Linked DNA regions of Arabidopsis thaliana. The protein of the gene in region 1 purifies or fractionates together with the protein of each later gene. This does not show direct contact. Each region holds a gene or a part of one and is shown in the gene's direction. Other genes may lie near its edges. The genes, in order: ATP5, AAC1 and AAC3.

Evidence for each region.
Region 2: the proteins of ATP5 (region 1) and AAC1 fractionate together in Arabidopsis thaliana (co-fractionation; one large-scale study listed by BioGRID). This does not show direct contact.
Region 3: the proteins of ATP5 (region 1) and AAC3 fractionate together in Arabidopsis thaliana (co-fractionation; one large-scale study listed by BioGRID). This does not show direct contact.

The regions. Positions count from the first base shown.
Region 1 is NC_003076.8:4,306,334-4,316,970, reverse strand, and holds ATP5 (delta subunit of Mt ATP synthase), read left to right. Parts: upstream 1-4,904; 5' UTR 4,905-5,029; coding exon 5,030-5,125; intron 5,126-5,366; coding exon 5,367-5,414; intron 5,415-5,571; coding exon 5,572-5,815; intron 5,816-5,906; coding exon 5,907-6,019; intron 6,020-6,100; coding exon 6,101-6,187; intron 6,188-6,284; coding exon 6,285-6,413; 3' UTR 6,414-6,717; downstream 6,718-10,637. Other genes in the region: IQD11 (IQ-domain 11), read right to left, coding at 192-497, 580-648; AT5G13440 (Ubiquinol-cytochrome C reductase iron-sulfur subunit), read left to right, coding at 6,949-7,129, 7,897-8,540; AT5G13430 (Ubiquinol-cytochrome C reductase iron-sulfur subunit), read left to right, coding at 9,572-9,746. UniProt on the Arabidopsis thaliana protein: Mitochondrial membrane ATP synthase (F(1)F(0) ATP synthase or Complex V) produces ATP from ADP in the presence of a proton gradient across the membrane which is generated by electron transport complexes of the respiratory chain.
Region 2 is NC_003074.8:2,602,743-2,614,151, reverse strand, and holds AAC1 (ADP/ATP carrier 1), read left to right. Parts: upstream 1-6,256; 5' UTR 6,257-6,518; intron 6,519-6,578; exon of another isoform or gene 6,579-6,620; intron 6,621-7,113; 5' UTR 7,114-7,121; coding exon 7,122-7,595; intron 7,596-7,678; coding exon 7,679-8,053; intron 8,054-8,149; coding exon 8,150-8,446; 3' UTR 8,447-8,717; downstream 8,718-11,409. Other genes in the region: AT3G08600 (transmembrane protein, putative (DUF1191)), read right to left, coding at 556-1,506; iPGAM2 (Phosphoglycerate mutase, 2,3-bisphosphoglycerate-independent), read left to right, coding at 2,915-3,079, 3,175-3,453, 3,537-3,740, 3,832-4,256, 4,559-4,751, 4,831-4,926, 5,016-5,171, 5,305-5,469; AT3G08570 (Phototropic-responsive NPH3 family protein), read left to right, coding at 9,740-9,825, 9,948-10,014, 10,095-11,258, 11,358-11,409. UniProt on the Arabidopsis thaliana protein: ADP:ATP antiporter that mediates import of ADP into the mitochondrial matrix for ATP synthesis, and export of ATP out to fuel the cell.
Region 3 is NC_003075.7:14,038,102-14,048,945, reverse strand, and holds AAC3 (ADP/ATP carrier 3), read left to right. Parts: upstream 1-5,598; 5' UTR 5,599-5,745; intron 5,746-5,761; exon of another isoform or gene 5,762-5,903; intron 5,904-6,136; 5' UTR 6,137-6,164; coding exon 6,165-6,635; intron 6,636-6,713; coding exon 6,714-7,085; intron 7,086-7,163; coding exon 7,164-7,460; 3' UTR 7,461-7,658; downstream 7,659-10,844. Other genes in the region: AT4G28400 (Protein phosphatase 2C family protein), read right to left, coding at 415-447; AT4G28397 (non-specific lipid-transfer-like protein), read right to left, coding at 2,496-2,651, 2,759-2,938; A7 (Bifunctional inhibitor/lipid-transfer protein/seed storage 2S albumin superfamily protein), read right to left, coding at 4,218-4,260, 4,382-4,551, 4,626-4,955; AT4G28380 (Leucine-rich repeat (LRR) family protein), read left to right, coding at 8,015-9,190; AT4G28370 (RING/U-box superfamily protein), read right to left, coding at 9,824-9,925, 10,008-10,124, 10,299-10,627.

The DNA.
Region 1 (10,637 bases):
GCCCAAACCAAGATCCTAAACTAATTCAGAATCCCCAAATCCTTCTGCCTAAACTTACTTTCAACGTCTTAGCTCTCTACCTAACCTACTCAACTATAGTCAACACAGCTACAAGGTAACTACATAACTCCAGTATGAAAATGAGTCGATTCTTTCAGTAGCTTCATAAGAAAAGGGTAAGACAAGCTTACAAGATGACCCCGAAAGGCGGTCTGAATGCGAGTAGCAGCAAGAACTTCTTCCTGTCTATTAAGAAACATTTGATACTGGACTACCAGATCAGCAGTTTCTGGTGATGTTGAACCTTTTGACTCTTCTATGGAATCTAACTGTCGACTACAAGACACTTGGCTGATCTCACCCACATCTGACACAATTTCCTCCTTCTGTTCCTCATGCGATTCATGACTTGTCCTGTGCTCTGGAGGTGCTGTAATGGAAGGTAATCTTTTCTTAATCCTAAGCTTCCAAAATGTCCATTTTCTTCTCTTCTCTTTCTGCAGAAGTACACAAGAAGAATCAAACAAGATGCAGAAACAACAATCAGCATTAGAATGAGATTAACATCTTTGTCTTCACCTTTTCTGAATTAACTTCTGAAATAAAAATCCTTTTCAATACAGTGAACAAGCCCTTCTTCTTAGCCATTGTTGTACAACCATCACCTGCTATATTGCTCTGGAATTCCTCCCACAATCCGCCAACCAAATCTGAACAATAATCCAACTTTCATTCAAACAATGACCAAATCATATCAAATCACTACCACTGAACACCTGATATGTGCAAATAATACAATCTCTCAGTACCATTTTCCTTAAAAATCCTAGATTTGACTAATCATACTCCAGATCAATACTCTAGATTCCAAAATAGATGATTCAAGTACCAAAACTAGGCACAATGCAGGTACACCACAAAAAACATAAGAAAGATAAAAACTTACTTGATGGTGTCAAAAGATTTTTCTCAAAACGTTTGCTTCAAATCTTGATTGTGAGAGAATCAAGATTCAGGGAGAGGGTTTCTGCATCAGAGAAGAAGACTGTTCATCAAATTATGAATGTGAACAAGAGAGAAGTAAGGTTTGTTGTTCTCTTCTCCACTGTGCCGACAGGTGAACGTGCCACTTCATTGCCCACTCGAAATTATATTTTTACCCCTCTCATCCTCCTTAATCCCCTAACTTCTGGTAGATCTTGCAGCTAACCACAAATTGTTTGTTGAATTTTGTTTAGTTTTTAACTTTTGTGTAAAAGTTAAGTTTCAAGAATAGTCATATCAACATTTAGTAAACAAATGTTTCTCCATGTGGAAGTTCTTCATAAATATCCTCAGACAGATCCCAAACTCATAAATGCATTACACAATGTTAAGTTGAAATAGTGACCGTCCAAAAATAGCTACATCAGTGATCAGTGTTAAGCACTTTAACATAGTACAAAATCAAAAATAACTTGCTTTTTTTTTGCAAGAAGTGAATAACGTATTAACAAAATCAAGACCAACATGTTTCCGTAATTAACAACTAATTTTGTATCTTTCGACGCTGCTATAAAAGTCATATTTCACATTTGAAGACTTGTTTTCAAGAGATGATAATTTAGGTACTATATATGATAATGAAACTATTTTTAAAAATTGGTCAAACGACAATGACAACGCATTGCATATTGTTCAGATGGAAAAAAACATATTCTCTAAGTTGTATCGCTCTCAAGACCTCTTCAGTACAAATCCAATTGCATCCTTCTATATTATTCTTCTTCTTTAAAAAAAAAATAATATTCATGTAAATCCAAAAATAAATTATTCAAAGTGTACTGACAAAATCAAAGAAATAAAAAAATATATAGACGATCCGAAATAAAACAAGTGTTCCATATGTTTCACTTCGAAGTTCCAAAAAAAAAACAAGTGTTCCATATGTTTCTCTTTAATTGATGTTTAAGTTTTTGACACATAGATTAATAAACTACACAAATTGTGTTTTTAAAAAAATCTTTTATATTAAAACATAAAAAAAATTCTAAAAAATTATTTATTCATCGAATGACATTATGAAGAAATGTTACAAATCAGTTTTGTTTTTTTAAATTGTTGCACTAGATTTTAACCCGCGGTATACCGCGGGACGATTTATTTTTTAAAAGTAATATATATTAAAACTTGCAAATTTTATTTTATAAAATATTTATATTTTATAATTTATAATTGTTATTAACTAACGCTATACCACGAATTCATGAGACAATTGTTAAAAAACTGAAGTTTTAACCCCTATTAAAACAGCATATTAATAATATTTTAAAATTTTATAAATATTAATTCAAATACATCCGCCATATAACTCAATTCTAAAATAAAACTCGTTCTGTAATTTCTTTACCCGTCCTGTGATTTTTTTTTGAAGTAGTAATTTTTAAAATTTAAGAATTATTTTTTATATATAAAAGTTTTGCAAATTGTATCATTTTCTAATACATTTATATTTTATAGTTTAATTTTATATATAGTAACATTATACATACCACATAACATTTTTTGTTTTATATAATCTTTTCTAAATTAGGATGATTTGATATATTTAATATTAGTGGTCTTAGAAAATAATAAATTAAAAATTTAATCCGTATTGAAACGGTGGATTAATTATATTTTATTTTTTTATTAATGTTGATTCAAAAACCCGTCCCTCTAAATCCGTCTTGCCAAAAAGCCATTTATTTGTTAATATTATTTTTATTAATGATGTGACTCTGAATTATAATCTAAACATTTTAGTTAATAACATAGGAGTGCACCATATTTATTTAATAGGGGAATGTACCATATGAGCCGAACGCACTTTTATCCAAATCTACCAAAAAAGTCTTGCAAAAATACTATAGAGATAAGAAACGATTGTGAGTTTTGATAGGTATAAGATTAACAAATATATTTGTTAGTTTAAATTAGTTAAAGAATACAAATTGAAAATGTATATTACACTTTATTCGAATATAGTATCAAAACTTATATAACACAGAGATTTGTTTTTTTTAATTGTTGAATATTTTTTTTTGTGCTAATTTTTATGTGATTAAGATTTAATTGAAAAAGTCTTGCAAAAATACATTTACCAAAAAAGTTTTGCAAAAATACTATAAAGATAAGAAACGATTGTCAGTTTTGATAGGTATAAGATTAACAAATATATTTGTTAGTTTAAATTAGTTAAAGAATACAAATTGAAAATGTATATTACACTTTATTCGAATATAGTATCAAAACTTATATAACACAGAGATTTGTTTTTTTTAATTATTGAATATTTTTTTTTGTGCTAATTTTTATGTGATTAAGATTTAATTGATTTCATAAATAAAATATTAAATTGTTTACGAACTTATTTGTTTATAATTTGATAATAGATAGATATTTGAATATTCAGTATATTTTGCTTCAGTTTAGGAAATCTTTGATGACCCGTCTTTAGATCCAATAAGCCCTATAATCTAGATTTTAACCTGCAGTATACCGCAAGTAGGCTTATATTTTAGTTAAACTAAAAACTTTTATTGTAAAGATGATTTAAAAATATATGATATTATTTTATTTGATTTTAAATGTATAGTAAACTGTGAGTTGTATATGTTTTGTTGATATTATCTATATTGTTTAGTGTTTAAGATTATACACTTGTAGTTTGATTGTTAATTTAAGAGTTTGACATGTAGTATACCATCTTGTATTAATATCGATCTAAACCCGTTAATTCTAGGATTTTCCAGCTTGTATTAAAAATTGAATCACATCTAATATGTTATTAATTATTGTAGTATATAAGATTATAAATTTTCAATATAATATGTATGAAATTGAATATAAATATTTCAAATTATGACCCGTTACTCAGTAGAAAGTTTTCTTAAATCTATTTTTCATCCGTTATAATATTTTTCATGTATTGAACAGTTTATATTCGTTTTTAAAAATTCAAATTATGACATATGCGAAAAAACTCTAATTATTTTTTTTATAATGATGATATTATTTTTCGGCAAAAATAGAATCATATAAAGATGAGAAGTGAACTATAATAATTAATAAAAAATTAATATGATAATTTAGATATCAAATCTAATTTGTTGATTTTAATTGGTTATTTTTTTGGAAATTAATAATGCATTTTATTTTTCTAATTAAATTAAATTAATTAAAATTTAGATATCAAATCTTATATGTTGATTTTGATTGGTTATTATTTTTGGAAATTAATAATGCATTTTATTTTTCTAATTAAATTAAATTAATTAAAATTTAGATATCAAATCTTATATGTTGATTTTGATTGGTTATTATTTTTGGAAATTAATAATATATTCCGTTTTTAAATTAAATTTAATTAATTAAATTAGTATTTAACTTTTTAATCCTTAAAGAGATAAATTAATTTATTCTTTAAAATTTTATTTTTAATGGCATACCTATGTAATTACTTACAAAAATTAAGGTTACATTTAAAAAGTACTTCCCAAATAATATAGTAGGATAGAAAATTGAGAACAACATCTTAATTCGTAAGAAAAATAGTATTTTTTTAGAACATCAATTATTTTGAAATAGAGAAAAATACATTATTGTAGAGTTCAAATACACATTAAAAATGATATTTTTCATATACACATATATACAGTTAAATTTGAATATATATATATATATATATATCAACAATAATACAAAATAATAATCTACAAGATCTTGTTTACAACAAAAAAACGAGTTAAGTTGTGTATTACATAACCTCACTATAACATTTGAAACTTGGTAAAACACTAAAAACCTGAGCAAAACAAATTAACTATCATAAATTTGCCACTATCTACAGGTAGTAATAAGCCCAATAAAATAAGTATGAGCCCAGTGAAGCCCAATGCACTAAGTTATTTTCTTCCTCTGACCAGTTTCATCTCTTTGCTCTCGACAAAGCAGCTGAGCGACTTTTGCACATTTCTAGGGTTCCAATCAAAATCTATCTGCAACAAAAATGGCTAATCGTTTCAGATCAGGGATCTCCTTCTTCAAGACCATCGCCGTAACAGATTCTGTCTCCTCCGTTAGATCCAAGTCGCTTTTCCCAGCGGTAATTCGCATTCTTAAAAATCGAATCTTTTCAGTCCAATTTTTTGTTCGGAGTCGATTCTTACGAGATCAGTCGATCCAATCGCCTAATTGGATTGATAACAGTATAGAATGGGGATTATCGTGTTTTCTCGCTTACATTGCTCGGCTTTAGATGTTTTGGAAGTCTTTTAACTCTATCTCTGTTATTTTCCTGAGAATGCTATCAATCAATCTTTAAAGTTTGTATATTTCTATCGCAGTTGAGAACTTATGCAACTGCTTCTGCTCAAACAACCGCTAATGTTAAGGTACACCCTTTTATCACCATCGTATTATTTTGTAGATGCGAGAATCGCGACAATGGCTTGAATTGTTTGATTGGCATAAATGATGAACCGCGGATAGCTGGATTTTGTATAATATGTAATGGAAGTGTATCTAGATTTATACTTGTTGTTGTTTCAGGTGCCTATTGCTTTAGTTGGTGAAAATGGGAACTTTGCTTCATGGCTATACATTGCAGCTGTGAAAATGAATTCCTTGGAAAAGATTGAGACGGATCTTTCTGAGATGATTGAGGCAATGAAGACAGCTCCTATTTTTGCTCAGTTTACAAAGGATCCCTCTGTTCCTAGAGGGACAAGATTGGCTGCTATTAGGGATGCTTGTGATCAAGCAAAGTTTGCCGAACCCACTAAGAACTTCCTCTGTATGTAATTCAAGTTTGAAACTGTCTTGTTTTTATGATTTTGATTGACCTTGTTGTGCTGATATTAAAAGTTGTTTGCTTTCTGTAACAGCTTTGTTAGCTGAGAATGGAAAGCTGAAGAACCTAGATGCCATTGTGAAGAAATTTATGCAGCTGACAAACGCACATAGGGGAGATGTCAAAGTTTTGGTTACCACAGTCATTGTAAGCTTTAGTCTCAATACTTGTTATCTCTTAAATAACCATAAACTCAGTATTGTGGATTTAATCATATGGTTTGGACAGCCGCTTCCCCCTGCTGAGGAGAAAGAACTGACTGAGACGCTTCAGGAGATCATTGGAGCAGGGAAGAAAATCACTGTGGAACAAAAGGTATGTAATCAGATATGCATCAAAGGCTTGTGATTTTCTAGTAACCCATAAAATGGATATAAGCATCTATGTCAATGGTGGTAATGTGTGTTTGTAGATTGATCCAAGTATCTACGGTGGACTAATCGTAGAGTTCCAACAAAAGGTGTTGGACATGTCAATCAGGACAAGGGCACAACAGATGGAGAGGCTCCTCCGTGAACCTGTTGACTTCAACAACCTCTGAAAATCTTGAGAGAAATTTCCCCCAAGAAAACATGCTTGTGATGAATGCCACCAATTGACAAATAAATATGGACCCTCCTGGGAAACAATATAATAGCTGGCCACTTCTCTCCCTTTGAATTTTGTCATTTGCTTTTTACATATTGTTGTTTGCTTCGAAATAAAGCTTTTCGAGACATCAAATTTCAATGAGATTGTTTTTGTTTAGATTTGAATCGTTGGGCTAATTTGGTAAATAAATCTACAAACTATGCCCAAGTAGCTTATTCATACTCACGAATGAACATTAAGATGCCACGAAGCTACATAATTATCATGTTAGAACACCGTCATTGTTCTCTTCAGTATTAATAGTAAAAAAACCAAATTGACGATTTCTCGAAGACTATTAAAGGAATATCCGCAAAGAAGAAAAAAAAACATTTTTTTGGTAAAGGACTAATCTTTTTGTTTGCATCGGCCATCTCTAACCTTACGATTGTGTGTTCTTGCTTTGAGCGAAACCCTAGAATCGGTCTTAACCCATTTGAGCAGAGATGCTGCGAGTAGCAGGAAGGAGGCTTTTTTCTGTTTCGCAGAGATCATCGACGGCGACCTCCTTCGTCCTTTCCCGTGACCATACCCTTTCCGATGGAGGCAACTCCTCTTCCGCTTCTAGATCTGTCCCCTCTGCAGATCTCTCATCTTTCAATTCTTACCACCGGAGCGTTATAAGAGGTCTGCCGATCTACAACTCTTTCTGTCTCTCGATTGATTTTCATTTCTGGTGTTATCCATTGAATGATTCATAAATTTTTAAAAGTCACCTCTTTTGGGCTTGTATAAGTCCGGAAATGATTGAGATTCCTAGTTTCGTATCTGCGAGATGATCTATGGGAATTAAGTCATCTGTTTTGAATTCTTATGATGTGTATTAGAGCTTGATGTACCATTTCGTCTCATTCTTCTCCTTGCTGGAATAGTGATTGATCGGATATGAATTGACCAGCTTTGAGATAATCCTTTTTTGATGAGATAATCGATTTTGACATGTAGTTTATTCATTATTATGGAAATGGATGTTTTATCGTCTTTGGGCACATCATATAAGATACTTGCATCAGTAAACGAATCTGGAATTCCATATCTTTAACCAAAAGGGCTATGTTTGCAATCTTATCTTAGGAGTTTTCTTATGTTTTAAGCATTTATGATCATTGAAGTTCCTTCCTTGGATCTTGCGTTAGATAGATTAGTTTAGTTTTCACTGAATTTGATATCATGGTAGAAAATTGTTTGGATGACACCTTCTGTTATCTCTTGGAATCCGTTTTTATAATCTTATGTTATTCTATGCATTAATGTTAAATGTTTGCTAGTGTTATTCCTTTCTTCTGTGTTATCTCTTGAAAATATTTTTGCTTAATACTTGGTGTTGTTGAACACTTGACCAAGTATAAAGTTTGCCCTTGATGTGAAATATTAATGTTTCATGCTATTTTCAGGTTTTGCTTCTCAAGTCATTACTCAGGGAAATGAGATAGGTTTTGGTTCGGAAGTCCCAGCCACAGTCGAAGCTGTCAAAACACCTAACTCAAAGATTGTCTATGACGACCATAACCATGAGCGTTACCCACCTGGTGACCCTAGCAAGCGGGCATTCGCCTATTTTGTCTTGTCGGGTGGAAGGTTTGTTTATGCCTCTGTTCTCCGCCTGCTTGTTCTGAAGCTTATTGTGAGCATGTCTGCAAGTAAAGATGTCCTTGCCCTTGCATCCCTCGAGGTTGACCTAGGGAGCATAGAACCAGGAACTACCGTGACAGTCAAGTGGCGTGGAAAGCCCGTCTTCATCAGGCGAAGAACAGAAGATGACATCAAGCTGGCCAATAGTGTGGATGTTGGATCCCTGAGGGACCCACAAGAAGACTCGGTTAGAGTCAAGAATCCAGAATGGTTGATCGTGGTTGGAGTATGCACTCATTTGGGGTGCATCCCCTTGCCTAATGCTGGTGATTATGGTGGTTGGTTTTGTCCGTGTCACGGATCACATTACGATATATCTGGAAGAATTAGGAAAGGTCCTGCACCATACAACCTGGAAGTACCGACCTACAGCTTCTTGGAAGAGAATAAATTACTCATTGGTTAATGAATAAAGCACAACAGTCCGAGTGTCATGGTCTGGATGATCTTAAATCTGTTTTTGTTTTTATATTTTCCGGCATTTTAGCGTGCAAGTTCGCTTTCCTCACACTTTGGGCTCAGCAAAAATTGGCTTGTTTTGCTGAATAATACAAACTTGTCATTGTATGACTTAGTATCTGTCTCATCTGGTGAAAATACATTGTTCATACTTCATAGTCTCTGTTTATTATTTGAAAAGAGTTTTGAATAGTATCATCCCTATTTTTCTTATGTTTGTAATTTTGTAACATATCGTTTGTAAGAGAGTTTCCTTTCCTTAAAGTCTGTAGCCATTATCACAATTGAGACAAAAACTTGGTAAGGTTCAAGGTGTGTTATAAAACTTTCGTGTTCTTACTGGAGACGACATTTCGAAGACCTTCAATTCTCAACTAAGCCATAAACCTTCTCTTCCATAGTGAGAAATCCAATTGTGAACCTCGAGACTACTACTTTGATGAAAGATGTCATATTCTGGTTGTGGATCTTAGCCTAATTTTCTTGTTCAGATTGTTTTCATCGATGACTACTTCTTTGATGATGTCCTTCTAGCTCTTTCTTCTAGTATTGAAAAGTTCACACAGATGTAAAACAGTCTTTTTGTTGGAAATCTTGTTTAAACATTACAACAACAAAATATATCCTTTACCAAGTATAGACCCCCTATTATTATTATTAAAAATTACGATTTTTATACAAATAAAATAATTTATCTTACAAATACACACACACAAAAAAATTATATCGTAAAACCAAAAGATTTTATTAATTAAAATTAGAAAAAAAACCATGCCATCAAAATCCTGAAGTAAAAAAATATCAAGTAATACGCAAAAACCAAAAAAAACAAAACAAATTGACCTTTTCTCAAAGACAATTTTTAAGGGACTTACTAGTAAGTAGTCTCTTATGTTTTGTTTTGCATCGGCCGTCCCAAACCTGAGGATTTCTCTGTTCAGCTAGAGCGAAACCCTAGATTCACATTTGAGCTGAGAGATGCTGCGTGTAGCAGGGAGGAGGCTTTTCTCTGTCTCGCAGAGATCTTCGACTGCGACCTCCTTCGTCGTCTCCCGTGACCATACCCTTTCCGATGGTGGCGGCGACTCCTCTTCAGCTCCCAGATCCCTCCCCTCTGCAGATCTCTCATCTTACCACCGTAGCCTTATCAGAGGTTTGCCGATTTATAACCCTTTCCCTCTCTCTCTACATTGATTTTTCATTTTCGGTGGTTCTTTGCAGTTTTATTTGATTGATTGATTTTTGAAAAGGTCTTCTTTTTTTGGTTGTATGATTCACGGGAATGATTGAGATTTCTAGTATTGTATCTGCAATGATCCGTGGGAACAAACGTGTCATCTGATTTGAATTCCATGAGCTTGATGTACCATTTGGCTACATTCTTCTCCTTGCTGGATTTGTATTGCATTTGATGATTACTTCTTTCGTGTGGATTGTTCAGTTCTGAGATAATCCTTTGTTTTACTAGGAAAGTTTCCTCTTTTCGGTGCGTTAATCATAGTATGATTCACCACTGGCTTCTTGGTTTTTGAAATTTGATCTTGTGTATCAATCCTTTTGAGTTCTTCATTGTTAGGGACATGGATGTTTTAACTGTATACTATGTTTGTAGGATTTATAGCTGTTTAAAGGCATGCTGAGGAACTTGCATTCTGAAATTTATGTTTTCTTAACCAAAGAGCTTTGTTTGTTCTTAGCATTGGAAATTTTGTTGTGTTTTAAGCGTTTCTGTAATATACAGCATCTGATCAATATATTTTTTTCTCTTGGTTTATTACGTTGGTTTTAGTATTTAAGGTTTCACTGAATTTGTTATTATTGATTTGTTTGGATGAATTTGGTATACTTGGCTTCTCTGATTCATTCTTTCGTCCAGAAGGAAATGAACATTTGAGTTTATTGATGGATTATGGATTGACCTGTTTAGATGTAATTCTTTGGTTGATGACTAAAGCTCCTTGCTTGTAAATCATTGGAATGCGTTATCCATAGTGTGATTCACATTGGCTTCTAGATTCCAATTTTTTGTTCTTCTGTTTCCATG
Region 2 (11,409 bases), on another chromosome or scaffold:
AAATCTATTGGTTCATCGGTGATCTTCTAATATAAATGTGAGGGTCAACAAGTTGCATGAAGCAGATAGCTGCAAAAAATGTTAAAACTCAACAAATCTCAAGAACACACTAGTTCCTTTTGAAGAATGCTAAGCTCAATGTAACAAAGTTGAGTATGGATGATAGGATGATATACATCTTCTTCAACTGTCTGCTTCTCAGACAAAAAGATGTTGAAATTATTACAAAAAGGGCAAAGCTTTACAGCAAAAGTAGTTAGAAGAAAACAAAGTGAGTGCACTCCAGAAACAATCCAACTCTTTTCATTCTCATGGAGAGACCACCAAAGTTTGTTAATTTGAGAGCACAAGAAGAAAACAATATTACTTATTTCCTTATCACCAGCAGAGAAACAAGATGAATGTGGAAGTATCAACTTGCTTACCACAAAGAAAAAATAATCAGAAAAAGAAACACTTTACCAAAAGAAGAATAATTGTAGAAGAAAAAAAGAAAAAGACAGTAACAGATGATCAAGAAGATGTGATGATGATGATGATGTACACAAAAGTATCCTAAGCTGCGTATTCGGTTTCAAGCATTGGTTGTGTACGAGTCGTAGTAGCAGTTGGTGCTCTTGTTTCACCAACCTGAGTCATCCTCAGAGCTTCCCCTGTCTCTCCAGCTCTCTCCATCTCCCTCATTTTCTCTTGCTTCTTGTAATTTCGACATCTCAAAACCAGAAACAGTAAAAGCCCCAACAGTATCAATCCACCAACCACCGACCCAACAATGATCCAAGTCTTGGAATTGGAATCAGAGCTCTTCTTCTTCTTCTTACTCTCAATCCCAGGAGGAGCTAGACTCGGAGCAGAAGCCACAGATTTCACCACCACAGAGAAATGTCCCTGATGCTCAGTCTCGCATGTGTTTCCAGGCTGAATCGAATCGCTGAAACTCGCTTCACCTTTAGAATCGAATCTAACACACTTAGCACTAGACCCTTGCGGGATTCGTTCCAGATCAGAGAAATCGATTCTGATAGGATCATTAGACACCCTTAAATCAAGCTGAGGCAAATTAAGCGCAGAGAGATTCTTAGCATCGTAAGCGAGAAGACCCAAGACAGGAGCGACATAATCATAACCAGACAAAGGGTAATACAAGTGAGAGAAATTAGCTAGGTTTTGATAAACCAAAACAAGCCTTGTCACATACGGCTTGACGATAACGCCGCTGGGAATTGAGAACTCATTAAAAGGAGTGACTCCACGTTTTCTAAAGCTTCCGCTTCTGAGTCTCATAGCAGCGAGTTTGATCCCAGTCAAATTGGAAGGAACAGTAGTAGCCTCGTAGAGAATGCCGGTACGAGGACGAAGCAAGGCTCTAAAAGAGTAATCTTGAAGAAGAGCATCGAGTGAAGAAGAAGAAGAAGCATTGGGTGAAGAAGATTGAGCAGAGAGCTTTTGTAGACGAAGAGATAGAAACAGAAGCAGCAGCAGCTGGAGACAACGGAGAAACCCCATTGCTTTTTTTTGTTTCTTTCGCCTCTGGAGCAAAAAAAAATCCCCCCAGGGCGAGTCAAAGGTGGGAGACACAGGAATAAAAAGTCGCCGTCACGTCTGAGTAGAAAAAGGGTAAAAAGGGGAAATGGTGAAGAGAAGAACAAATCGAGGAATGAGGGTTAAGGAGCAATGGAGGAAGCTGAGGAGGAGGAGGAGGAGGAGGAGGAGAGAGAATGAATGGTCGCCGGTGGAAAAGAGAGAGAGAGAGAAAGGAGAGAAGGAGAGAGCCAAAAGGACAAAAAGGAGAAGAAGAGTGTTGTCGTCAGTCCCATTTGTTCACAAAAAAAAAAATGATACAGCCTGTTCATCTGATTTTTTCTCCCTTTACACATTAACAAAAATTTAATATTTTGTTTGTTTTTTTTACTTTCCTTTTCGACCAATCATATTGATACATTGCGGCATTCAATTTCGCCGTAACAGTTGTCCGTCTACCTCTTATTGTGTTATCTGTATCTCTCTCTGTATATTTCCCATATATGTATACTGTATGATTCTTTTCTACTTTTGTTTTTGTCTTTCCTTATCCTTGGCCCATTTATCTGACTATGAACCACGTCTCATCTAGTTTCAGGCTTTTTAAGCCCAATATATAGGAACTCAACTTTTTGTCTTTGGCCCATTAGAAATTGTTTTTTAGCCTTCTACCAACCTTTTGAAGGTTCCCAGTTAATATTATGATGATATTGAATAAATAAATGTGCACAACCCTGAATTTCTTACATGAGTTTTCGGTTTGGTTTTCGTGTAATTTCAGTTTGATTTAATGCAATCTCAAGGTTTAAATAATGATTTAGATAAAAAAAAGTTACTGTCAACAGAAATTAATGTAATCCCAGTTACTAAAACTTACCCATTTTTGATCAAATTCTGGTTCAAATACCGTATAAACTATTAAGTTAACTCCGGTTTGACCTTTTCTGTATGCTATTTTTTACGTTGACCAAAATAAAAAGGTATATACAATTTTTTTTACATGGCGCACACCATGACTATTACAAACGGCATGATCCAGAACATTCGTTCATAGCAGCTAAAACTAGAACATTCGTCTCCTTCCATTTTTTTGGGGGCTTCACAATGTTTACTTGAGCCCAAAGTAAAGCCCATTAAATTGGTACCACGTCATCGCTAACTTTTCCATTTCTATGTTTCTATAAAAGTCTCATATTATGTCAGTGATAGCTCTCAACCTACCATACTTCACCACATAACCACTTCTGTCTCTGCGAATCTCCATAAGACTCTTTGAGAAGCTTTCCTCTGTTTCTCCGCTGGTAAGCTTCCGTTATCTCTCTCTCTCTCGCTTCTCAGATCTGTTCCTTAAACCTTTAATTTCTCACCGACGAGTGGATCTGAATCCACAGTTATGGGTAGCTCCGGCGACGTTAACTGGAAACTTGCGGACCACCCCAAGCTTCCCAAAGGCAAAACTATCGGTTTGATTGTTCTCGATGGATGGGGTGAATCTGATCCCGATCAATACAATTGCATCCATAAAGCTCCAACTCCTGCCATGGATTCCCTTAAAGACGTATGTTTCCTTTTTTGTTTATATCCACTTCTTTCCTCGATGATTTCGCTGGATTCCGATTATGGACTTCAACGGTTCGATTTTATTCTTCACAGGGGAAGCCCGACACATGGAGGTTGATCAAAGCTCATGGTACCGCCGTTGGTCTCCCCAGCGAAGACGACATGGGAAACAGTGAAGTTGGCCACAATGCTCTTGGAGCTGGTCGAATTTACGCTCAAGGTGCTAAGCTTGTTGATCTCGCCCTTGCTTCAGGGAAAATCTATGAAGATGAAGGTTTCAAATACATCTCTCAATCTTTTGAGAAAGGCACTGTGCACCTTATTGGTCTTCTAAGCGATGGTGGAGTTCACTCTCGTTTGGATCAAGTCCAGGTACTTAATTCTCATCTGTTACACATTTCTTTTGAAACGTTGGCGTTTGTTAATTTTCTTTAATTTGGTTCTGTTTGGTGCAGTTGCTGCTTAAGGGTTTTGCAGAACGTGGTGCTAAGAGAATCCGCGTCCATATTCTTACTGATGGTCGTGATGTTTTGGATGGTTCTAGTGTCGGATTTGTTGAAACTCTTGAAGCTGACCTAGCTGCTTTACGTGCGAAAGGTGTTGATGCTCAGGTTGCATCTGGTGGAGGTCGAATGTATGTCACAATGGACCGTTATGAGGTAGGCAATGCTTGTGAGATCTTGTATGAATGTCATGCCTTGTCTAGTCTAGTTTAGAAATGAATCCAATTTTTGCTTTCCTTCCTTGCAGAATGATTGGAGTGTTGTTAAACGAGGTTGGGATGCACAAGTCCTTGGGGAAGCTCCCCACAAATTTAAAAGCGCTCTTGAAGCAGTTAAGACACTGAGGGCAGAACCTGGTGCCAATGACCAGTATTTGCCTTCGTTTGTTATTGTTGATGATAATGGAAAGGCTGTGGGTCCAATTGTTGATGGTGACGCAGTTGTTACATTCAATTTCCGTGCTGATCGAATGGTCATGCATGCAAAGGCCCTCGAATACAAAGATTTCGACAAGTTTGATCGCGTACGTGTCCCTGATATACGTTATGCAGGAATGCTCCAATATGATGGAGAGCTTAAGCTTCCTAGCCGCTATCTTGTTTCTCCACCATTGATTGACAGAACTTCTGGTGAATATCTGGCACACAATGGCGTTCGTACTTTTGCTTGCAGGTTAACTTTTAGAATCTCTCAAATCTTTAGTTATTGTCTTTGCCATTTTCTTCTATTGCTGCTTCCTGGTTTATTTATTTGCTGGAATTGGATTCATAATTGAAACTGTGATAAGAGTAATCCAGTCTTCTTTACTTGCTCGGTAGAGGTCTAATTTATGATTGGGGGTTGTTTGTTGATTAAAACTAGTGAAATCTCCTAGCTCACTTTTTCTTGATGAGATTATACCGTTGATGGTTAGTTACATATAATGAATGAATTCTCAGCTATTAACCTATTAAAATTTTATTTCACTGAAACAGTGAGACTGTGAAGTTTGGCCATGTAACCTTCTTCTGGAATGGCAACCGCTCTGGATATTTCAATGAAAAGTTAGAAGAGTACGTTGAGATTCCAAGTGATAGTGGAATATCATTCAATGTCCAGCCAAAGATGAAAGCACTGGAAATTGCCGAGAAAGCAAGGGATGCTATCCTTAGTGGCAAGTTTGACCAGGTAAGGTGTATTCTCTTATCACATTGTATCAACCCATTAAAACAATTGGCTTCTGAGTTTGGTGCCAATGGATTTTCAGGTGCGTGTAAACCTGCCAAATGGAGATATGGTGGGGCATACTGGTGATATTGAAGCAACTGTTGTTGCCTGTGAAGCTGCTGATCGTGCTGTGAGGGTATGATTTCAATAAATTTGTGACATGGGAATGTTAGAAACCGTTCTTAGTAGCAATGACTCACTTAGTTTTGGTGTCCTGGTTTGCAGACAATCCTTGATGCCATAGAACAGGTCGGAGGGATATACGTTGTGACTGCAGATCACGGAAATGCTGAGGACATGGTTAAAAGGGACAAATCCGGCAAGCCTGCTCTCGATAAGGAAGGGAACCTTCAGATTCTTACCTCTCACACCCTTAAACCAGTAAGTTCTAGCACTACTAAAACAGTTCGTGTTATGACCATTGCAACTGAGCATAGATTAAGCATGAGGGGTTGTAATACCAGAAGTGGTTGGTGTATCTTATATGAAATTTGGACATGATGTGTGTGTGCAGGTGCCAATTGCCATAGGAGGTCCTGGCTTGTCAGCAGGAGTTAGGTTTAGACAGGATATCGAGACACCTGGGCTTGCAAATGTAGCTGCGACAGTGATGAACCTCCATGGATTTGTGGCCCCGAGTGACTATGAGACAAGTCTGATCGAAGTCGTCGAGAAGTGATGATTCTTGTTGTTGTAGTTCTTTTTAAAAGTCCCACCTGAGCCTCTATAGACTCTGATTCTCTTTTAAGTTACTATTTTCACCGCTCTCTAATAAGGCTCGTGATTTTTTGGGAGCCATACTGTATACTCGCCGGCCCTCTCACGATGTTGTTCAATTCACAGACTAAATTTGATTTATCTATTTCGCCAAAACATAACTTCATTAAAAAATGTTCTCCAAATAACTAAACGAATTAAATAAAAGAAACCTTTCATGTAAAGTTAAAGGTATGAGACTTTAAGGGCAGTTGCTGAACATTCGTAACACATGGGAGAACAATAGAGAAAGTTGAAAAGAAACGTAGCATATAGAAAAATTATCTTTGTAACCAAGTTGATTTAGAAAAATATCACTATTTGTGAAAAATACTAGATCAGTTTATTATTACTTTTTTTTTTTTTGTATATTCACAAATATCATATTCATATAGAAGAAAATAAACAAAGTTGTAAAAATCTGGCATTTAAAATAAAATTGAACACTTCAATTTATTTCCTTTCATAATAATAATTTTGGCATAAGATATTTGCAAATTGATCTGGTTCGGTATGGTCGACAAAATAATTTTCCACGCTACCCTTCCAGCCGTCCATTCACTATTTGCCCTCAACGTTACCAAATAACGGTCCAGATTCCTAGGGCAAGATCTAACGGTTAGCAAGTAAAGTCGTACCATCAGAAAGAATAACAATTCTTTCACAAAGTAAACATAACCAACGGTTAACAAGTTCTTAGGGTTAAATCAGTAAGATCCAACGGATATTAAATTGCAAGGCCCAAATAGTTTTTTTGCAGCAGATAATAACTCGTCCCCACTGGCGAGTGACGACCGAGACTCTGTGACCCTATTTTTCGAGACGATAAAAGGGCAAACAATCGCTCTTTTCAAAGCTCGCCTCTTCACCACAGAGAAAACTTCGTCTCTCTTCTCTGCTTCGCCCTCTCATTTCCTGTGAGATAAAGGCGGAGTCTCTCTCCAGTTATTTTGCTCATCCATCGATTCTTAGGTATGACTCGTTTCTCTCAGATCTGTGATTCTTTATAATCTCGTCGTTCTTCAAATCATTGTTATATTCGTTTCTTCGATCTGTGTTTTTTAGATCTGTAAGGTAAATGAGACGTTTCGATCTGTAGATCTGATTGTTATATTGATAGATTATGTTATCTGCTTTGCTTAAAGTCCGATCGGAATGTTTTGTGCTCATTGTCGAATATCTGATGTATCGGTTTCATAGATCTGCTTCTTTTTGTGCGTTTCGTTGATCTGATAATCTTCTAGTGATCAAAATCGTTTGGATCTGTTGACTTTAGTTTAAAATGTATCCGATCTGATGTCGAGGCTTCATTATTGGAAGTTGTTATTGTTGTAATCCTGATTTAAGTTGCTGTTCTTAAATTTATATGATCTTTGCGTTATAATATGACATGGTAGATCTTGGTTCATGGTTCACTGTTTTCCAATAAACTTGGTTTGTTTGGTTGGATAGCGTTCTGTGATACGACCATGTCTTGTGTTGGATAAGAATTCTCTGAATTTCCTTGGCTGGTTTGTAGTATGTTATTCACGTCTGGTTTCTCATCAATGATTATGTGATTTTGCAGAGTTCAAAATGGTTGATCAAGTTCAGCACCCCACTATTGCGCAGAAAGCTGCCGGGCAGTTCATGCGTTCAAGTGTTTCCAAGGACGTTCAAGTGGGTTACCAGAGGCCTTCTATGTATCAAAGACATGCAACCTACGGAAACTACTCCAATGCTGCATTTCAATTTCCTCCGACATCCCGGATGTTGGCAACAACTGCTTCTCCCGTGTTTGTCCAAACCCCAGGAGAGAAGGGGTTCACTAACTTTGCCCTTGACTTTCTGATGGGTGGTGTTTCTGCTGCCGTCTCCAAGACTGCTGCTGCTCCTATTGAACGTGTTAAGCTTTTGATCCAGAACCAGGATGAGATGATTAAAGCTGGCAGGCTTTCTGAACCCTACAAGGGTATTGGTGACTGTTTCGGCAGGACGATTAAGGATGAAGGTTTTGGTTCTCTATGGAGAGGAAACACTGCCAATGTTATCCGTTATTTCCCCACTCAGGTTTGTTGAGTTTCATACTCTTTCTTGTTATAGCTTTTGAAAAAACATAATTTTCTGCTAACCTTCTTTTTTGTCTATTGTAGGCCTTGAACTTTGCCTTCAAAGATTACTTCAAAAGACTTTTCAACTTTAAGAAGGACAGAGATGGTTACTGGAAGTGGTTTGCTGGTAACTTGGCATCTGGAGGAGCAGCTGGTGCCTCTTCCCTTCTGTTTGTGTACTCCCTTGACTATGCCCGTACCCGTCTAGCTAATGATGCCAAGGCTGCAAAGAAAGGAGGTGGTGGAAGACAGTTTGATGGTCTTGTTGATGTCTACAGAAAGACACTTAAGACTGATGGTATTGCTGGTCTGTACCGTGGATTCAACATCTCATGTGTTGGTATCATTGTCTACCGTGGTCTGTACTTTGGACTCTATGACTCTGTGAAGCCTGTTCTCCTCACTGGTGACTTACAGGTATGTCTTGTTGTCTTTCTCTCTGATCTGTGTGCTCTCTTGCCTATCATTGGTTGATATTGACATGTTGTGGTCGTTCTCTTTTGGTTATTTCAGGACAGTTTCTTCGCTAGTTTCGCTCTTGGATGGGTTATTACCAATGGTGCGGGTCTTGCATCCTACCCCATTGACACTGTCCGCAGAAGAATGATGATGACGTCTGGTGAAGCTGTCAAGTACAAGAGTTCTTTGGACGCCTTCAAGCAGATCCTCAAGAATGAAGGAGCCAAGTCACTCTTCAAGGGAGCTGGTGCCAACATTCTGCGTGCTGTTGCAGGTGCTGGTGTGCTTTCCGGTTACGACAAATTGCAGCTGATTGTCTTCGGTAAGAAGTACGGATCAGGAGGTGCCTAAGCATTGCTTCTTCCTCCTTTTTTCGATTTTAATTGCGGTTTTAAGGCCCGCAATAAACTGAGATGTTGATGAAATTTTTTTTGCTTAAGACTTAGGGAGGCATGTGCCCTAAACCAAATTTTATATCGTTCTGACGCCAACTTTTTTTACTTATGGAATAATTCATGTTTGAGAGAGTTTGTTAGACTCTTCGATTTTAAAGAATTTTGGATTTATGAAATAAATTCTTCTTTTTTATCTGATTACCATGTTATTTATAGTCTTAATCAACTTGCAATATTGATTTCGTTATCTTAGGTAGTATCTACAATCTAGTTCAGGCTATAAGTTAAAAAAATGCACGCATCCAAACCTGTGTAACTTAGAAGTTTTGTACGAAGTAGTGAACTTAAACTGTAGCAACAATGATGAAAGAAATGTTGCAAACTCATTGTTGAGAATATCACTTATATATTGCATGTCAATATTTCACTCTTCATATCCCTCATATTGCACCTATGTCTATATCAGTAGTAATGAGAGAGCGAATGCATAGAGCTCGGTTAACATGCATAAAACATGGAAAATGAGAGTGAAAAATCTACTATGCAAATCGCCCTTTAGCATCACCCATCTCTGAATTATTTTTGTGGAACAGAGTCATAGAGTTGCACATCAGTTTGGAATTATGAACATTGATAGAAATCAAGAAAACTTCCAATAAGAAGACACCAAACAGATATTTGAGTTAACAAAAGGTGTTTCTGAAAGCTTTGAAATAAATTAAAATAGTGATGTATTAGTGATTAAGGATCTAGAGATATTTAAAAGGATCTGTCATTTTGCCATTTGTCTGCTGCTATTGGAAGGATTTTGATCCGACAAGGATTTCACATCTCAAATCACCATGTCAATTGTTTGGTGAAACAAAATAGAGCAAAAGTAGTGGTGACAAAGTAGGGTTCATAGGTGGTTGGTTAGTATAAAAGAGAGATTAGATAGAAACTGAGAGTGGAGGTTGTAATAGAGACCTCAATTAGTAAAGTGAAAGTGTGCCCCCAAGAGACTATAATTGAGTCTTTATGGAGCTCCGTGCCACACACAACCCCCTCTCGGCTTTTCTCACGTGCTCTGAATCATACATCACCAAAAAAAGCATCTCTTCTTTTTTTTTTTGGAGTCAAGATTACGAAATTGAAAGTGCATTATAAAGTCTATTAGAGAGTTTTTAAAAAATCCGAGCAAGAAAAGGAAAGTGTTCAAAGCCTATATGTTTCTGAAAGGCTCCTCCTCAAATTCATACTCAAGGTCACAATGGGTATTATATCGGACAATGCTCAATCTCACTCGTCTTCCTCTGCCCCTGCTCCTTCCATCTTCTCCAGCTCCTTTGCCACTCGGTCTGTTCTCTGTCTCTCTTTCGTTCAAACATGTCAAAGTTTGTTCCTTTTATGCAATCACGTATAGATTTCTTACTTATCCGATGCATAAAGGATTCGTTTTTACCATATATAAATTGCAGCATATTCTCAGATGTTGCGGGAGACATCACAATTGTTGTTGATGGAGAGTCCTTTTTACTCCACAAGGTTAGTGATCTGTTTTTTTTTTTTGCCCACACAAAGTGTTCGACGGAATTTCAATTTACGATGTTTGAATTATTTTGCAGTTTCCTTTAGTGGCTCGGTGTGGAAAGATTAGGAAAATGGTGGCAGAGATGAAAGAATCATCTTCAAATCTCTCGCATACAGAGCTCCGAGACTTTCCAGGTGGGTCTAAGACGTTTGAACTCGCCATGAAGTTCTGCTACGGCATCAACTTCGAGATCACTATCTCCAACGTGGTTGCTATCCGTTGCGCAGCTGGTTATCTTGAGATGACAGAGGACTTCAAAGAAGAGAATTTGATTGCGCGGACCGAGACTTACCTCGAGCAAGTCGCGTTTCGCAGTCTTGAGAAGTCTGTGGAAGTCCTCTGTTCCTGTGAGACGCTTTATCCTCAAGACATTGCTGAAACTGCTCACATTCCTGATAGATGTGTGGAGGCTATCGCTGTGAATGCTTGCAGAGAACAGTTAGTGTTAGGGCTGTCACGGCTGAACCGAGGCACCGAGTCAGGGGAACTCAAGCGAGGAGATAGTCCTGAGTGGTGGATTGAAGACCTCTCTGCTCTGAGGATTGACTATTACGCACGAGTTGTCTCTGCGATGGCTAGAACAGGCTTGCGGTCAGAGAGTATCATAACGTCTTTGATGCATTACGCTCAAGAATCGTTGAAAGGTATTCGAAACTGCAAGGAGCGAACCAAGCTCGATTCGGGTACTTTTGAGAATGAACAGAGGAACGTCCTTGAAGCCATTGTTAGTCTTTTCCCAAATGACAATGTCCCTCTGAGTTTCCTCTTTGGAATGTTGAGGGTCGGGATTACCATAAACGTAGCCATCTCTTGCAGGCTCGAGCTCGAGCGGAGAATCGCTCAGCAGCTGGAAACAGTCTCCCTCGATGATCTACTCATACCTGTTGTCCGAGACGGAGATTCCATGTACGATGTAGACACTGTCCATAGAATACTCGTCTGCTTTCTGAAGAAAATAGAGGAGGAAGAAGAATATGATGAAGATTGCTGTTACGAGAACGAGACCGAGAATCTTACTGGTTCTATGTGCCACAGTTCATTGCTGAAAGTGGGTCGGATCATGGATGCATACTTGGCAGAGATTGCACCAGACCCGTGTCTGAGTCTTCACAAGTTCATGGCTTTGATAGAGATATTGCCTGATTACGCACGTGTCATGGATGATGGGCTATACAGAGCCATTGATATGTTTCTAAAGGTAAAGTTGTTCTTCTATCCCTTAATATGGAGGCTGTGTCTCTGTTTTTGCAACATTTTGTATTGATAGAGTGTCAATGTTCTTTGTGTCTCTGGTTAGGGGCATCCGTCGCTGAACGAACAAGAATGTAAGAGTCTCTGCAAATTCATAG
Region 3 (10,844 bases), on another chromosome or scaffold:
AAGCCTTCATGGAGTCATCTAAATCTAAGTTCTTTATCACCCCCATGAACAAACCATAAGCATAACAGAGATCTATGCACAGATTCTTCAGAGAAAACCCACCTCAAAAGTTAAGCTAATGGATCAGCCAAAAACCATAAAATTCTAAAGGATCAACCTTTTTTATTTGATAAAGCTAAAGGATCAACCTTGAGACTGCATTCGTTTATCTGACTAACTCACTCACTTAAAACTTTGTTTATTTCTCAAAAAAAGTTTCAAACTTTTTACTAATCAAAGAAAGAGCTAACAACAGAGAAACTGATTCCAGGTCCAAAGCAGAGAAAAGTGAGCTCAAAAGAGATCAGATCAAGGAGATCTCATCTCAAAGTAGTACCGTCAAATAAGAAGAATAAAGCATAAAAAGAGTAGTACCTTAATCTTATGGAGAATATTACTGCCTGCCATTTCTGAGAAAGTTTTGAGACTATTCCTCTGTCTCTGTGGTGGTTGATATGTGATGAATGAATGACGCAAACGAGAATTATGGAGAGATCGAAGAAGATTTTGGGTTTATAAATGGTTTTGACTTCGTTGATGCGAATGAGGAAATAATGTGAAATGCTCGGTGACTGTAACATTTTATCGGCTGCGTCCTCCAATGCGGACGCGTTCTCTCTCACGACTTTTCTTCTTCCCTTTTAACCCCTTTCTTATAAATTAATACTACTGTAGTATATATAGTTTTGTTCTAGAAACTATTGTCACAAAATAATAATCTGTTTAATGCTGTCAAATAAATTTATGTTTCACGTAACATTTTTAGTGAAAGATGATTGAAACCAATAAAAAGAATAATGGCTATATATCACACTATTACCATTTCTTAATTTCATTTCTAAAATTTTATAACCTACAATTCTACTTAATTGACCATAAAACAAAACTTAGGAATTTTGTTGGAAAATCGTGTACAACAATATTCCCAACTGTCCTGAATCTTATCTTTGTTTAATGAAAATGTCCTTTTCGGCTTTTCATTTTATTTTGTTGCGATAGTGCGTACATTTTGGTTCCTAATAATTAAATGCAGCAAGTAACACTATCCTTTTGTTTTTCATTTTCTTACTCACCACAAATTCTTGTCGGCTCTCTTTCAATAGATTCACTTTCAGAGAGTCTTCTTGGCTCCTTCCAGATCGTCCTTTATAGTAAGCCTCCAACTTTTCCATATCTTAGATTGAATTTTTACGTCAAGCACATAATAATAGAATCATCTTTTAGAAAAGAAAAAATATGTATATTACAGATTATCACATAGTTCAAAGTGATGGAAACTCAGGGGAGGAGGAGTCATTATTCCAAATCCCCATTTATCCCAAGATTTTATTCAATTTGATCAGCAAGACTAGAGAGGATAAAGATCTTACTCACAATCACACACATATACTTCGCCGTCAAAGAGTTGGTGATTTGTCTAATCAAGGTTTCGTGACTTACTAGACGTTTTTATGTTTCTGCGATTAAAAATTGAAGACTAAGTGATAGTGGATCAGTGGTTATATATCAAAATATTAGTCAAAAGTTATAATTTAATAACTCACAACTTAGCTGTAAATCTTATAGATTTGTGTAAAACCAGAGTTTTACAATCGTTACAAGAACAAGAACAACATAACTTCTGATTAGTGATGTTTCGCACCAACGCCTCTGTACGTTGTATTGTTTTCTCTGTTTTCATCTTTTACCAAATGATCAAATATCATCTTTTACAACATCCACATATTTTGACATCTTTTCTATAGACTTTCTGAAAAGCTTTTACTGTCTTCTGTGGATGGGCAGATTATTGTGTTCTTATCTCCGAGTCAAGCCTTGTCAATTTGGACGACTAAAAAGACCAAGTTGATTCATAAAAAAGTAATTATGTAATGAAATTGTGGTGGTAGGTACAAGTCGTCATTGATTGAAAAAAAAAAAATGAAGGACAAAGTTATTCTATCATTAATTATGGAAAGCCGAACCTCACTGTTTGGCAGTAAAAAGTGGACTTTTAATTTTGTGTTTTTTTTAATACTACTATTATCTGAAAGAAACACATGGATAACCAAAACTACTATTAGTAGAAAATTAATCGTATTTTTTAATCAGACAGCAACGGAGACATTGGTAAAAAGGGAAGTGAAGAGGAATCCATGAGGAGAAGAAAAACAAGAAAATGCTCTGTTTTTTCCATCCTATGTTATTAAGATAACTTAAAGATTAAAATGTGAATTTCGAGGAACAAGTGCGATAAACTTTTGTTAAAAACAAAAACAATAGAACATCAACGTTCAAAATATGAATCGAAATTTGTGACGTTCAAAGGTTTGCATGTGTGACATTTCTTATTAAACGACAATATCTATACAACAACTTAGAAAACTACGATAAAACGTAAGTGAACAAATACTAGAAAATTATAAGATCATCTTTCCTAGAATGCATATGCACCCCCACATGGACGTATTGAACACTCACATCAACACATGTTGTGATTCAGATTCTGTTACATTCGGGTCTGGGTTTTGTGCGCAAGGTTTACATCTTATTTTCCAAATTATATCTAATTCCGGGCAATCACACCGTCCCCCTATCTTCCCATTCACCTTTTTCTTCGTCAATACCTGCAACTATACATATAGTAGTAACTCGGTTATCCCACCCGGTTAATCACGGTTAAACAACCGGTTTTAGTATAGATGAAAAAGAGAGAGAGAGAGAGTGAAGAATCAATTACAGTAATTGGAGACGTGAGCTTGAGGACGTTATTGAAGCGGCTCACTCCTCTACAATACTGTGGAGGGGGTTGCATAGATAGTCCTTTAATAAAGCTCTCGAACATGTCCCTGCAATGCTCTTCTTCACTCATGGAAACCGCGGACGTGATCAGTGTCATAAGCAATAGAGCACGATGCATCTTAAAATTAGTATGTAACTCACTGATATTGACGAGTACTAGCCAAGGTAATTAAGATGATCCGTGTTCATCACAAATCTATATATGTATTTAGTAGTTGATTAGTTTATATGATGTTTAGTTTAAAGAAACATGTAACTCTCGTGCTTCCTTCGTTAAGTAAACATGCAAATTGTATAGGTTAATCTGTTAGACCTAATTAGTCTTTATAATTTTTTCCCAGTTTAAATATTTGAACCAGCTGGACATAATTAACGCTTGTTTGAAAAAAGAAAAAAAATAAAGACATTATTAGAGTGTGGGCAATAGGTGGAGAGACCCATATCTTATATATACCACTTAAGATCCTACTCAACTTCCGATGTGGGATATTGTCCCTAATAGACATTACGTTAGCTAGGAAAATGATTTTCTAAAATTCTTATCTGAATGGTATATTTTTAAAAAATGAGATAATTTGGATATTATGCATGTCTAGGTCACGGGTGATTCATATATATGTATAATTATTCCAGCTAAATTGGTTAAGAGCTGGATTTGGATATTTTAAAGTACAATTGCGAATTATTTTAAGTAATTGTGAATCATTTTAAAATAAAAAATTGCGAAATTATCTCGGATAATTCTCGGATTTGTACCCCCATTCCCCTGAAACAACTCGCACTATGCACCCAAAAACAATTTCAATTTACTTTCACATCAATCAATAAAGGGTTTTCCTGTGCTACTCGCTGCAGCTGTTATATAGGTGGTGTTTCCGTGTTGGTAACTTGGTATATGGAAATTATGTAACATTGTATTATAGCTGATCGATTGAAATAATCGTGGCTTTGAAAGTGTTGGATCTACTCTGCTGAAGTCACTGGATGTATTTAATTAGGTTGTTGCCATTTACTCATCTGTTAAAAAACAAAATTTTAAACCACGTTCCTCTTTGTAAAAAGCTAAAAGCCTCGTTATGTTATCCGTTTGGCTATGTAATTATAAGTGTAGAAATGTCACGAGAGCCAGAAGTTTTGTCCTTAAGTTTTGATTCTTAATGGACAATTTTGGCATTTTTTGCTTCCCGTAATAATGGTTATTGTAAAAACTAAGAAATAGAAGAGAAGCCATATCTGATGAATATACATATATATAATCGCTTACAGAAAATTCTTCGTACTTTTGTAACACTAGTCACTATTACATCTACAATAAACTCGATTATATATCATTTGTAACTATATAGAACTGTTACAAGGCTTCCCTTCCCAATATTCATAGATATATATCCTGGTAGTTAATTTAATTTCTCAACGTCGGGATTCTTGGTGTTTCTGAACCTGTAATGACAAAATTATACCAGTTCATTAGTTCCTTTATGCACAAGGAAAAATGTAATATATAACATTTTCTTCTAGGAAAAGATTTTTAAAAAACTATGGAGAGAAGAATGAAAATAACTGAGAACAGTCCATATCAACGGAGATGGGAAAGCTGAGAGTAAGAGAACAACGGAGAGGAAGGTTATTAATAGCGGCGGGAAGAAAAGGAAGATGATTTGCATTTCCCATTATCTCAATGCACAGACACACTCTCTCTGTTTCTCCACTATCCTGCCTATTCCTCGATCCCTGCGTAGTTAATATAATTATAGATGGTGAAAGAAGAAACCGAAATAGAAGAATCGAGAATTAAGTCTAGTAACTGGAGACGTAAACTTGACGACGTTGTTCAAGTGGGTCACGCCTCTGCAGCAATCTGGAGAAGGTTGTTGAAATATTCCCTCGACGAAGCCCATGCAGGGCATGAAACTCACGAACACGTCTCTGCAATGTTCCAGCGGATTATTGTCCTGGGAAACGGCGGTCTTCATCAGGACCAAGAACGCTACTACCAATATGGCATGTATCTTCATTGAACTCAGTACACTAGCTAGCGAAGGTGATATATATGATTCGTGTACGAAGAGAAATCTATATCTATATATTATATATATAGTAATCAATTCGTTTCTAAGGTGGAGTTTATTATGCATGGCTTAGTTTAATGAACACATGTAGTTCTCATGTTTCCTTCTTACTCGGATGAATTCCAGCTGAGTTCTCTTTTAGTTTTCTTGAATCTTTTGAAATAATCTACCTACACATATTAAGGTTATTGCATGTAATTCGAGTTTATTTTATATCGCATGACATGTATGATGTGTCTTGTTATCTAATACATGAGCCGATATCATTGCCTATATTCTGGTACTCTCAATACGTATCGGTTTGTTTCATTGTTTGTAGAACATTTCTCTAACTAGTTTTGGATCACTAAATTCGAACCACATCACCTTCCTTGCATCTGTAAAGTTCTGTCCGGCTGAAGAAGAAAAAAAAGATTCAACTTTCTTTCTTGCTTCTTAAGTAACATCCAATTTTTTAAGACCTAGTTAACAAGCCTCTATTATATTTTTCCGGCAAACCAAAAAAGTCTTGATTATTGTTCTATTTTTCTATATTTAATTTTCAGGTAGATGAGACATATATCACATAATGATAAAGAGGTCTCTCACTTTCATTAGGTATGAATTTTATCTTCCTAGGAAAATAAATTTTGGGTCCATTTAGAAGAAGTCAAGACTCGGGTCCCTTAAAATTGGGCCCAGAAAGAAACGGGTCAAAGGAGTCCAGTAGCATTTTCGTAATTGTACCTTCTCTTCTGCTCAGTTTCGTCTTTTAGTTTAGGACCAGAAGTCGAGAATCATGTAGAAACCTACTCTTCTCGCAATTTTCCACAGCTCTCTCTCTCTCTCTCGTTAACGCTTCGGCGAAAAATCCACGGTAAGCTCTCGACTCCAGAAGTTCTAGCTTTATCATTAATGCTTCTCTCCTAGCTCTCTCTGTTTTTTTGTTCTGCTTCTCGTGAATTCTGTTTTCTCGACGCCACTCGTTGCTTGATCTTTTAGAAACAGAGGATTTAATTGAGCTGCTGCAACTAGGTTTTAATTTGTGCTAATTAGGTCGCATTATAGTTGACAGATTGAAATGGTGTCTTTAACGAAGCTAACTAGGATCGTATGAAATGTGTTGATGATGTCTTCTCTGTTTTTGTTCCAGTTTTGGTTATGATCATTCTTTTTTAAGCATGCAAATATAGAAATTTTCGAGAAAGCAAGATTTTGTGGTGTTTAATTTGTATTTTTGTTTTGTTTTGTTTTGTTTTGTTTTTCAGAGTCAGCTTTTACTGATTTGTACAAAAAATGGATGGATCAAAGCATCCATCAGTCTTTCAGAAGCTACATGGACAATCTTACTTGATCAATAGACTTTCTCCGAGTGTGCAAGCTCGTGGTTACTGTGTCTCTGGTGCTTATGTCAATGGAGGTTTGCAGAGTCTATTGCAGCCAACTAGCCATGGCGTTGGCTCGTCTCTTATACCTCATGGTTCATTTCCTGTATTAGCTCACGCTCCTAGTGAGAAAACTGGTACTGGTTTCTTGATCGATTTCCTTATGGGAGGAGTCTCAGCTGCTGTTTCGAAGACGGCAGCCGCGCCTATAGAGCGTGTGAAGCTCTTGATTCAGAATCAAGATGAAATGATCAAAGCTGGGCGTCTCTCTGAGCCATATAAAGGAATCAGTGATTGTTTTGCTCGAACAGTCAAAGACGAAGGAATGCTTGCTCTTTGGAGAGGAAACACTGCCAATGTTATCAGATACTTCCCCACTCAGGTTTGTTTTCTCTTCTTTGACGTGGTATTTGTATAGACGTCGAGATGGGTATGCTAAGCAAATAGTTTTGTTTTGCAGGCTTTAAACTTTGCGTTCAAAGATTACTTCAAGAGGCTGTTTAACTTCAAGAAAGAAAAAGATGGCTACTGGAAGTGGTTTGCAGGGAACCTGGCGTCTGGTGGTGCAGCTGGTGCATCATCTCTGCTTTTTGTGTACTCTTTGGATTACGCTCGTACCCGTTTAGCCAATGATGCGAAGGCGGCCAAGAAAGGTGGTCAGCGGCAGTTTAATGGCATGGTCGACGTGTACAAGAAGACTATAGCCTCTGATGGCATTGTCGGGCTTTACCGTGGTTTCAACATCTCATGCGTTGGAATTGTCGTGTACCGGGGGCTTTACTTTGGATTGTATGATTCCTTGAAGCCTGTGGTTCTAGTTGATGGTCTCCAGGTAAAAAACAAAGAAAACTCCTCACTTCAACATATTGAGTCCTCTGTTACTGTTTACTCATTGCTATAATCTGTACAGGATAGCTTCCTTGCTAGTTTCTTACTGGGATGGGGAATCACCATTGGAGCTGGATTGGCGTCTTACCCAATTGACACGGTTCGCAGAAGAATGATGATGACGTCAGGTGAAGCAGTGAAGTACAAGAGCTCTCTTCAGGCCTTCTCTCAGATCGTCAAGAACGAAGGGGCCAAGTCACTCTTCAAGGGTGCAGGTGCCAACATCCTTCGTGCGGTTGCAGGCGCTGGTGTACTGGCCGGCTATGACAAGCTCCAGCTCATTGTGTTGGGTAAGAAGTATGGCTCTGGTGGTGGCTAAACGATGAGGATGATGAAAGAATAGCCCTTGAGGTCTGTGAATGAATAAAGCAGTGTGTCCGTTCGTATAAATGTTGCTTTTAGAATATAGAGTGTCTCTGTCAAGTTGTGGCCCTTTGTCTTAGTTCTATACTTCTATGACTTTTGTTGACAAAAGAATAAATACAAAGAAAACCAATACCATGTTTATGTTTTTTGTAGTTAAAACAGTTTTAGTGAATATTATCAGTTAAAAAGTCAACATAAGCTGAGAGATCAAAAGAACTTTAAATGTATGGTTATGCGAAAGTTTGTATAATTCAGATTCGGTTTCCTTGGGTTGTAAGCGAATGAGTGATCTAAGTCCAACACTAAGATTTGGTCTTCAAATGTGTCAGTCTCAAATCCCACTTCAAACCACTCCAGACAGCTACAAGTAAGGAGTTAAGTCCTTTTCCTTGATCTTATACCACTACCTGATTCATCCTCTGTAATCGTTGCACCAAAGACCAAACTTATTGTCTTTATATATAAATCCACCACACTTAAGACAAAGGATCCATAACTTGTCTTTGAATGGCTCTCTCTATAACATTTCCTGTCCTTATCTCAGTTCTTCTTTATCATTTCTCTTTAGTATCAACAGCAAAACATAGCCTTCACCACCACACAAGTCACTCCACAAACCCTAAACAGCATCTTCAGCAAGCGTACCGTGCACTTAAAGCATGGAAGAAGGTAATCTATTCTGATCCAAAGAACTTAACTGCAGATTGGGTCGGTCCCTCAGTCTGCAGCTACACTGGCATCTTCTGTGCCCCATCCCCTTCCAATCCAAACACTCTAGTTGTTGCCGGAATCGATCTCAATCATGGTGACATTGCTGGTTTCCTGCCTGAAGCCATTGGCCTTCTCTCTGACCTCGCTCTCATCCATCTCAATAGCAATCGCTTCTGTGGCATACTTCCTCGTTCGTTTGCCAATCTATCCTTACTCTATGAACTTGACCTCAGCAACAACCGCTTTGTAGGTCCTTTTCCGGATGTCGTCCTTGCACTCCCTTCTCTAAAGTACCTTGACCTTCGTTACAATGAGTTTGAAGGCCCCTTGCCTCCAAAACTCTTCAGCAATCCCCTCGATGCCATTTTTGTGAACAACAACCGGTTAACAAGCCTCATCCCCCGAGATTTCACAGGAACAACCGCCTCTGTTGTCGTCTTTGCCAACAATGATTTTAGCGGTTGTCTGCCTCCAACCATAGCCCGCTTTGCAGATACCTTAGAAGAGCTTCTCCTAATCAACTCAAGCTTATCTGGGTGTCTACCCCCCGAAGTCGGGTATCTCTACAAGCTAAGAGTCCTGGACATGAGCTACAACAGTTTAGTTGGTCCTGTACCTTACAGTCTCGCTGGGCTAGGCCATCTCGAGCAGCTAAATCTGGAACACAACATGTTCACTGGCACTGTCCCTCTTGGAGTCTGCGTTTTGCCCAGCTTGCTGAACGTTACCGTCTCTTACAACTATTTCAGTGAAGAAGAAGGTATCTGCAGGAACCTGACTTCCAGAGGAATAGCCATCGATGATCGCTACAACTGTCTGCCTGACAAACCGCTTCAGCGTCCCCAAAAAGTCTGTGATGCTGTACTTGAGCACCCCATAGACTGCTATGACCACGAATGCTCACCCATGGCTCCACTGGTTGCTCCATCTACCGCAGGACCTTCCATTGCTCCTGGTCCAGCTGACACATAAGGATTCACTCTTATGCGCACAATGACAAGATGCTATGTATGCAAAGAAAATGAAAGAACTAGAAATGTGTGAAAGATTTAGTTGTGGGGTGAAGAATATGCACTAAGATTATAACGTAATACAGTTTATACAGAACACAATTGTCTATCTGCGGTATCTAGCCGCAGTTACAGATTCCACCTTTGCTCTGTTTTCATCTAAAAATCTTCTAAACCTCTGCAAGGACCTGAAATTAAAGAACCAGCCCCACCTGTTTCAGGATCAAATTTTGCAGCAGTTAACTTCGCGATTTTGTGAACAATCACACTTCAGGAATGTTTGACAAATAAGTAATACATCCCACAGTCAGACAAAAAAAGGAACCGACAAACCTGAAACACTCAAATAAAAGCATGATTCCTCATAGGCCAACTATTTACAGAGATTTGGGTTTTATCATTTTGAATTCTCATTTATGAAATCATATTTCTGTTAGCAACAAATTTTCTTCAGATAGAACCAAGACCCTATCTATAGACCTAATAGGCAAAGAAACTTCGAAGGAAAAAAAGTAAAATAAAAAATTTAGATTTGAGTTGTTACCCGCAATAATCTGAGTGAAGTCTGTACATCCTAACAAACCGAAAACATCCTCTATGCTGGAGGAAGAGACCGCCGACAAGTTGGACACTCCATTTTTATATCCATCCATCTCTGTAAGCATCCCGAGTGAAAGAAATGTTCACATGGAGTTACCTGTTTTCAGAACAACCACACTCATGATTCTGTCTATTGGGGAAAAAATATAGTTAAGAGAAGCAGGAAAAAACTGCAGTACCATGCAATCACTGGTATGCTGTCTGAGATCAATAGCGGTCATGCAGATAACACAATCAGTGGTGCGGCTTACATCCCGATTAAATCTTCGGTGGTAGTTGTATTTCTCTGGTAGCATCTGCGTGTAGGCAAAACGATGAAGAAAGAGATTAGTGGTAGTCAAAAACAACTTAGCAATGGGAACGAGACTTGAAATATTCAAGCCAAACTGAAACCGAACTGAAAACTTAGTGTTCACTTTATTAGATATATTGTTTCATGTGTAGTTTACATGAATACAAAACAAACTAACCTGACGGGGAACAAAGCAGCGTGAACCAAAATAATGCTGAAGAAGAAGAATGACGGCTTGCAACCCCATGAATGTGCACAAGCATATACACCAAACCTTGTTGGGCTCTACACGCATGAAGTTGTGTGGGCATCCAAAAACATATAACGGTATAGCTAACCGTGTAGCTGTCATGCCCAAGATGTAATATGGGTGCAGAGGCTTTCTTGAATCCCGGACAACATTGGCGACTATTTGTGGTATCCAAAATGAGTACATGAGAAGGAGAATCGGCTGCATGTAGTTGTGGAACTGGTACATTATCAAAATGCCTCCAAGAAGGATCCCATCTGTTTAATATTGTGAAAATGATGAAACATCAGCATTAGCATCTGAACTTGCGTCAAAGTTTCAGCTAAATGAAAAACAGAAGTCACATAAATGGTGAGAATATCTAGCACTCAAGATTCAGTGCAGGTTATTGTCCTTAGAATCAAAATAAAACCTACATAAACTAGTGAATAACTTGGAAATTTTGAGAAGATAAACAAAACCATTTTTCCATAC